2 linked regions of the Saccharomyces cerevisiae S288C genome follow. Changing the gene in region 2 together with the main gene of any one other region gives a genetic interaction. Each region holds a gene or a part of one and is shown on either strand. Other genes may lie near its edges.

Region 1 (2,830 bases), on a different chromosome or scaffold from region 2:
AGGACTTACAATGTTGATCTCCTGAGTATTGTTAATGTCCAAAATGACCGAACAACAGCGGATAACGATATATATCCTTCTTGCAATTATAAAGAATCGTAAGATAACTCCGTCAACGATGATGTGGAAATTATGACCCTCTTGGAGGCTTAATCACTAAAAAGGAGATGAAGCCTTCAAGTCACATCAAAATAATCGAAGCCAACACCAAAGAATTTTACAGATTGGTTCTGCTCATGTTAGGGGGTGTATGAGCAGATAATCCAAGTTAAAATAATTTTTTGGAGAATATAGAAGAAAATATATAAGGTTTTGCTTTTTCTAGATTTTATATAGGATAGGGTATTACTAACTTGTAATATAATGTATACCGTGGTATCCATTATATCTCTGGGTCTAGTAGGAAGTCACAAAAGTACTTTAAAGCAGCATAAGTTTCCTTTCCAACTGGCTTGATGTTTTCTGGAGGCAATAAAAATCCATGGTTCCCTGTATCCCGTAATTTCAACTGGAATGCCCAATGTGCTCTGTGGTGGTACATGAAGTCCAACGCAGAACCTGCACCGAGGCCGGGGAATATGTCGGAACCACGGTCCTTACATGCGGAGATTACGTCGTAGTTTCTACCTGATTTTGAACGGATGGCCTTGGATAAGCCATATGATAACTCCAACAAATTTTCTAAGTCTCTGGGCAAGGCATCACACGAGTATGCGTAGGGATATAAAATCTCCTGTGAATACGAATGCATGTCAATGTAGCCATAAATTTTGTAATCGCCCTTGGTTTCATTAATATACTTGTACCAAGCAGATGCTTCCCAAGCTTCGAAGGGCGTTTCCCCACTATACTCTTCGCTGCAAGCGTGGGTGTGTGCCTTTTCCCACTGGAAACCAAAGGAATGATCAATGTCGATACCAAGACATTGAGGAACATGAGTCCTTTGACGATTCTTACGCCATAGTCTGTCATGCGACCACGTATATGCGTATCCGTCTGGATTGAACACAGGTATGACTAAAAAGTCCAAATCGTCCAGGTATTTGGTTTCCTTCTTAGACGAACCATATCGATTTAACAACTGATAAAGTGCCCAACAGACGGTACTGACACTGATCCACTCTCTGGCATGTATACCACCTGTGATAACAATAGTCTTCTTTTCCGGGTTTGATTCTGGCTTGTTTCCGGATATATGCAGAGCTTTTAGCTCTCTGCCTTCAAATGTCCTGCCCAAGTGTTCCACTGCAACCAAACTGGGAAAGCTTCTTTCTAGAAGATCCAACCACATATAAATAGTATCCAGGTCCCTGTATTCGTTAAAGAAGAAATCGTAATCATTTTCAAAAACAGCCTGCTCACGTGCCATCATCTGACTTGTAGGCAATGTATTTTGTATCAATTCATTCATGTTATCTATGATCACCTGCCCATCATTTATCTGCTCACCTATTTCTTTAGGCAACTTAATATCAATGAAATTATTGCTTCTCGTCCATACATCATAATCATCTGTCAGCGGTGCGATCACATCTCTTACCAGGGTAGAATAGTTGTCTGAAGTAAACCTGTAAACAGCGTATTCACTGTAATCCTCTTGGAGACCCTGCACAGCACCTGTCACGGCTAGTAAAACGAAAAGAAAACAACCCCACAACGAATTCATGTGCAACATGATATAACTTAACACTCTGGTTTGTTTATATAGTGTTAACTTGGTCTTTTAAACCGTCGAAAATATTTTATCCTTCCTTCCATTTAGTTGGAACCATTTTCTAGTTCTTCGTAAAATCCGCAGTCAGCGCAGGAGAAAATAGAACGAGACAAATGATCTTTTAAATTACAGGTTATCGCGGGAGAATATTGGGGTTCAGAAATACAACACATATAAACAAAAATACGTACCAAAGAAGTGTTATAAAAGTGATATAACTATGTCAGAGGATCTTTCACCTACAAGCAGCAGGGTGGATTTGAGCAATCCTCATGGGTTTACCAAAGAGGGAGTGGATTTATCGAAGCTGTCACCACAAGAACTAAAATTGTATAAAATGTATGGGAAGCTTCCATCCAAAAAAGATCTGTTAAGACATAAGATGCAGGATCGTCAATATTTTGACAGCGGAGATTATGCATTGAAAAAGGCCGGAGTCATTAAGTCGGATGACGTTATCGTGAATAATTCTAGTAATAATCTACCAGTGACCAATCCTAGCGGTTTAAGAGAGTCTATTATTAGAAGACGTATGAGTAGTAGTAGTGGTGGCGATTCTATCTCGAGACAAGGAAGTATCTCAAGTGGACCTCCACCAAGATCTCCAAATAAATGACTAATGAAGGAATGATATTATGTGGTATTACTTTTTTTTTATCATCACTAGCTTCGGCTAAGCCCTTGCATTTTCAATATTCAATTACCAAATAATATATATATATATATATATATATGTATGTATGGTATACCTTGTGTTACTGATGTGTTTTTTGTTGACGTCATCCTTTTGATTTACTCACATGCTTAGTAAATGAAGGTTGTTGAGGCCTAAAAATCAGCTAAGATTTACACATCGATACTAATCATTGAACGCCCCTATGGGAACACTTAATTGAATAAATATCTGCCCAACTTGCTGAACATCAAAAACCCAAAAAAATAGAAATCTATAAAATACAACGCCAGTGACAACTGCGAGAAACATTGTGAGCAAGTGAACGCACTAAGGGCACCAATTACTAGACCTGGGAAAAAAACGGTTAAAGTGCCATCAAAGAACAACCACAGAACAATGTTTAATAAGCTCCATGCACCAGCTGCCTGCAAAGAGGAGGA
Region 2 (5,193 bases):
GGTATACATATTTCGGCATCGAACTTATCAAACCAGGTATTTAATTCGTCCAGTTCGTCAACATTAAATGGAAGTATCAACTCGTCAACAAATTCATGCATTTTTCCCGGCTTACCTTTCAAAAATTTTTCATCTTCTTTATTTATCTTGGTGTCGTCTTCTAGTAAGACGAGCATCCTATAAGTATTACTCTTGGACATTTCGTTTTTCTCTTTCGTCTTAGTGTAGTACGAGATAGAATTCAACCGCAAGGTAGCCTTGCTGTATTGGACAGATCATTCGAATTTGTTCCAAATAGGATGAGATGAGGTCGGCTTTTCTTCATTCTCGCTAGAAAATTTAAAAAAAAAGAAAAAAATAATTACATAAATATATATTTATATGTATATACTGTAGTCCTTCCTTGCATGAAAAGACGACGTTTTTCGTGATAATAAGAAGTTTGACACTAAAAGGGCATCCTTACAATACTTGAAATATGTGGCCTTATATAGGTATCTATCAATCTTGTAAACAGTTATGAGTTAAATGTCTGGAATTAAGATTGTGCCATCAGAATCATTTTTGTCCATCATTCCCAAGGCAGAATCACCATTGAAGGCTATATCTCCAGTGCCCACCTGCTCCATGTATAAGGTATGATTGACTAAATTCAAGTAGGAGTACATGAAGTTACTTAGCAATACTTGTTGTCTTAATTCCCTCCCGGGATCGCTAAGCTTCAGATGGCTGAGTCTGTAAATAGCCCTTTCAACATTAATTCCTAGACGATGGTCAAACATAATCACTGTAGAGTTGGTTATCATTGGTAATGGGAATCCAAAAGCACTGTCTGTGAATTTTATTGGAGCGTTTGAGTAATCTGGTTTAACGACATCTTCAAATGTCAATTTTCTTGGAGGCAAAGTTGAGATTTGAGGGGCAGTAGGTGAAGTGTTGTCTTCTCTCTCTGCTCCTATATCCTCTTCTAGTCCAGCTGTCGTATCTCTACTGATACTAGAGTGCACTTCGACGTCGTAGTTTACATCACCACCACTAATATCAAATGAATCGTCGCCATCTAACTCGCTTATAGTTTCCACCACAAATTCAGAACTGTGGCTAGTATGGCTGTCAGGAAGAAGGGTGGAAGCATTTGAACTTCTCACTTCTGGTTCAATGACGCTTGCTGTATCTATATCTTCGGTGGTAATTGTTTTGGTGGGGGATGAAGGGCGTTCAACTTCCGCTTCTTGGGGCTTTTTCTTGGGACTTTTCCTGAATTTTGATAAACTCGAATGCGAAGCCTTCTTTTTCAGTTCTTTTTTAACACTTTTTTTGATTACTTTCACATCTGATTTGCAGGTACCATTATGTTGTTTTCTTTTGAATAATTTGGCAAGCCTTTTCTCCAAGGAATTTTTCTTATGTGTACTGGCTTGGGTGTCAGTAGGCAGTTCTACCTTTTTCTCCACGACTGCCGGTGCAGTAGGCTTAGATGGCTGGGATTCAGATGAAGAAACGACTGAAGGAGTGATTACCACGGATTTTGCTTCTTCAGAATGTATCTGGAAAATTGGCGAATGTCTATTTTTGGAATGGTTTATTCTTTCAGAGGCACGTTTGGTAGATTTCGCTCTCCTCGATACACTCAAGTTAACAAAGTCAGCTTTTTCATTGTCCACACATTCTTCATCGTCTTCATCATCTGTAAGCTGTTGATAAGTTTGTTCATTAGCGTTCAAACTTCCATTGCTAGAATTCAACCATGACCAGCCATGATTTGCTTCGCTGTTATTGGTATTTGATTTTTCACTCGAGCTAACGTGCTGATCCAATTTTTCAGAAATCATCGAACCAGTGTTATGCGGCTTTATTAAAACGCTGTTGTTAGAACTATCTGTAGATAAAAGACTGCTCTCTTGAGAAATAGATGCATGTGTCAAATCTTCTTCATCCGAATAGTAGTTGGTGCTATCAACGTATTTCTCATTTTCGGTACTCCAATCAGTACTTGTTCTTCTGTAATGGTCGAAAATCTCGTGAAAATCATTCAATGATGCTTGCTCCTGAGGCACTTGTGTGTAGGAGGCAGGCGATGATGCACTTCTGCGATTGTCATTAGTTTGTATATTCATTAGGCTATTGAGTTTTACCGCCTGTGGAAGGCTACTACCCTCTAGTCTGATCTTATATGTGTTGAATTTAGACCTCCTTAGAGAAGATCTCTCTGGTATGGTAAGTCCAGTTTCATTAAACATATTTGATGCAAATTCGTTATCATTTTCAGTGTGATTGCCGTTCAAATGAAGACTTTCGTTGGTAAATGACCCTGACATGCTCAAGCTTCTGGCTAAAGTCACCGCATCTGAGTCCGTTAAACCGGCATTATTGGAAATCTTAGTAAGCTCTTCAGTAATTTCTTTCAAAGATACAGATCTTATGGTTTTGATGTCAGATGAGGATATTCGCTTATCCACTTGTATTTCTCCTTCTTGTGGTTTGTCTGCAAGGGGAGGTTCGTCATCAAACTTGGTATAAGATGTCTTCAACCGAGAAGGCCTTCTAACTACAGAGCCCGTGCGTTTTCTATTCGAAATTACATGATTGTTACCCAGTTCTAATTTGTTTTCATCAATGTCTTGATTTGTGCTTATTTGAATGTTTTGTAAAGTGTCCTGGATCAATTCCAAATAGTTTTCGGGCTTAACGTTAGGATGTTGGTCAGCGGGCACCCACAAAAGGTTTTGAGTTAAATCAACCATTTTTGAATCGTGGTCGTTCTCCACATCCAATACAACATCGTGAGCCAATGTCTTTACTCCACTGAGCCTTCTGTTCCTCGACGTTACTCTTGCTGAAGATGAAGTGGATGAAGAAGCATTACGGATGATTTTTTCCTTCTCCAATGTTTCTTCATCATGCAAATACTCTGTTTGAGTGATATCTATACTGTCGTCGACATTAGTAGCATCGCCCTCTTCATATGCATCATTGTCTTCGCTCCCTTGTTCTTCCTTTTGTTCTGATCGTATAATGTTCTCTTCATGGAGCGATTCTTGAAGGGATTCCTTTGAGGAATCTGAAGAATATGAGTTTCTACTGTTCACTTTGAACTCTAGCTCAGGGTCAATTACCAAATCCATTGAACCAATCGACAATCGCTTCAAATTTTTCACATTCTGAATTTCTGTATCTAAAGACTTGGCAGCAATTAACACGTCAGATTTCCTCTTCTCAAAAAGCTCCTTCTTGGACAGCTGTGTCTTCCTCATTCGCCTCATTTGAATATTATTATTACTGTCCGTACCACCACTACTGTTTTCTACAGTATTATGGCCATCTTTGTTTTGCATATCTTCCATCAGTACCATAAAATTCTAATTTAAATTCAGTCTATAGTGCAAACGTGATCAATGTAAAGTATACGATACTACTAACCTTGACACTGTTCTTTAGCGTTTTACTCCAGTTTTCAATCATATTATTATGATCTAACGAAGATGAGATGAAAACAAAAATAAGACGCGGCGTGTGCTACCCGCACAACGCGTCAGCAAATGTTACTGGTCACAATAATCATGCACTTATAATTAGCTACAAAAGGCCACTTCTAGGTCCAATGTGACCATTTTGCAGCCAAATCAAGCATAAACCGGCCGTGATACTATCGGCGATACACAGCCTAAATTTCTGAGTTTTGCGGTTTTCTCTGTGGGAAAAGTGCGAGAATTTTTCTGAATTGGGAAGAGTACATGTCAAAAACGGGAAGTGACACCATTGAGCAAATATCAAGGTATCCGATAGTTCTGTTCTCGATATTGGAACACAGTTATTTGGCAAATGTATCATTAAATGAAAGTCTTTCCGTATAGGATTCTGCCCTGTTGCCTGCTCTTCCCTAATATGGAAACTAGCTTCCGCATTTGACAAAAACTGAAAAAGTGGAAAAAAAAGGATCACACAAGAAACTATAAGGATATCTGCCACCTTCACTCCTTATACAGCTGCTGTTACAATTGCAAAGGGAATAGTACAGATCGCAGCAAGAAAGATATAATGTTGATTTCTTCACGGATCGTTCGAAGCTCGCTGGTAAATGTCCCGCTAAGATTATCTAGGTGTTTTACGCAAGCTCACAGAGCATGCAAAGAAGAAGAAGTTAATAGTCCTTTATCATCCGCAGCTGAACAGCCAGAGCAGAAGTATACGCATTTTGGTTCGAAGACTGTATTGAAGTCTACCAAGCAGAAGTTAGTTGGTGATGTCTTTTCTTCCGTGGCCAATCGGTATGACTTGATGAATGATGTTATGTCATTAGGAATTCATAGATTGTGGAAGGACCATTTTATCAATAAACTAGATGCGGGAAAAAGGCCAAACTCTACGACTCCTTTGAACTTCATAGATGTGGCTGGGGGATCCGGTGATATTGCTTTCGGATTACTAGACCATGCTGAGTCGAAATTTGGTGACACTGAGTCTACAATGGATATTGTAGATATCAACCCTGACATGCTTAAAGAAGGTGAGAAGAGAGCCATGGAACAAGGAAAATATTTCAAGGATCCTCGTGTGAGATTTTTGGTTTCTAATGGTGAGAAACTAGAGGAGATTGATTCTGATTCCAAGGACATCTACACAGTCTCCTTCGGTATCAGAAATTTCACCGATATTCAAAAGGGTTTAAACACTGCTTATAGAGTTTTGAAACCGGGCGGTATTTTTTATTGTCTAGAATTTTCCAAAATTGAGAATCCCCTAATGGACTTTGCTTACCAACAGTGGGCTAAGGTCCTACCTGTAATGGGCTCGATGATTGCTAATGACTACGACTCTTACCAGTATTTGGTGGAGTCTATCGAAAGATTTCCTGACCAAGAAACGTTCAAATCCATGATTGAGAAGGCAGGATTCAAATCTGCTGGCTACGAAAGTTTAACTTTTGGTATATGTGCCATCCATTGGGGCATTAAAGTTTAAAGTAAATAGAACAAATTTCCTTTTTTTTTTGTCAAGAAAATCGAAGCTAGTAAAACATGCCTATACTATTTCTGTCTCTCTTCTTCTTTAGTAATACCTGTGCCATGTGATAGCCATATATTTTGCTGTGATGTGCAGAATTCGTATATACTAGGGGGAAATAGAACGAAAGAAAGAAAGAAAAAAAAAAAAAGAAATAAGTGACTGTACATAATATAATAATATTAATGA

What was found.
Region 1: mutations in ZDS2 (region 2) and IGO2 impair growth when combined (synthetic growth defect), as found in Saccharomyces cerevisiae (2 studies listed by BioGRID, with this or other methods).

Annotation. Positions count from the first base shown.
Region 1 is NC_001140.6:368,120-370,949, forward strand, and holds IGO2 (phosphatase regulator), read left to right. Parts: upstream 1-1,934; coding exon 1,935-2,330; downstream 2,331-2,830. Other genes in the region: ECM14 (putative metallocarboxypeptidase), read right to left, coding at 383-1,675; NSG1 (Nsg1p), read right to left, coding at 2,603-2,830. UniProt on the Saccharomyces cerevisiae protein: Required for TORC1 to properly control gene expression and chronological life span. Plays an essential role in initiation of the G0 program by preventing the degradation of specific nutrient-regulated mRNAs via the 5'-3' mRNA decay pathway.
Region 2 is NC_001145.3:49,800-54,992, reverse strand, and holds ZDS2 (Zds2p), read right to left. Parts: upstream 3,354-5,193; coding exon 525-3,353; downstream 1-524. Other genes in the region: YML108W (uncharacterized protein), read right to left, coding at 1-200; COQ5 (2-hexaprenyl-6-methoxy-1,4-benzoquinone methyltransferase), read left to right, coding at 4,039-4,962. UniProt on the Saccharomyces cerevisiae protein: Acts as a negative regulator of polarized growth via an alternative mechanism to ZDS1. In heat-stressed cells appears to play a role in localizing BCY1 to the cytoplasm. Seems to interact with, and down-regulate, CDC42. Also acts as a suppressor of PKC1.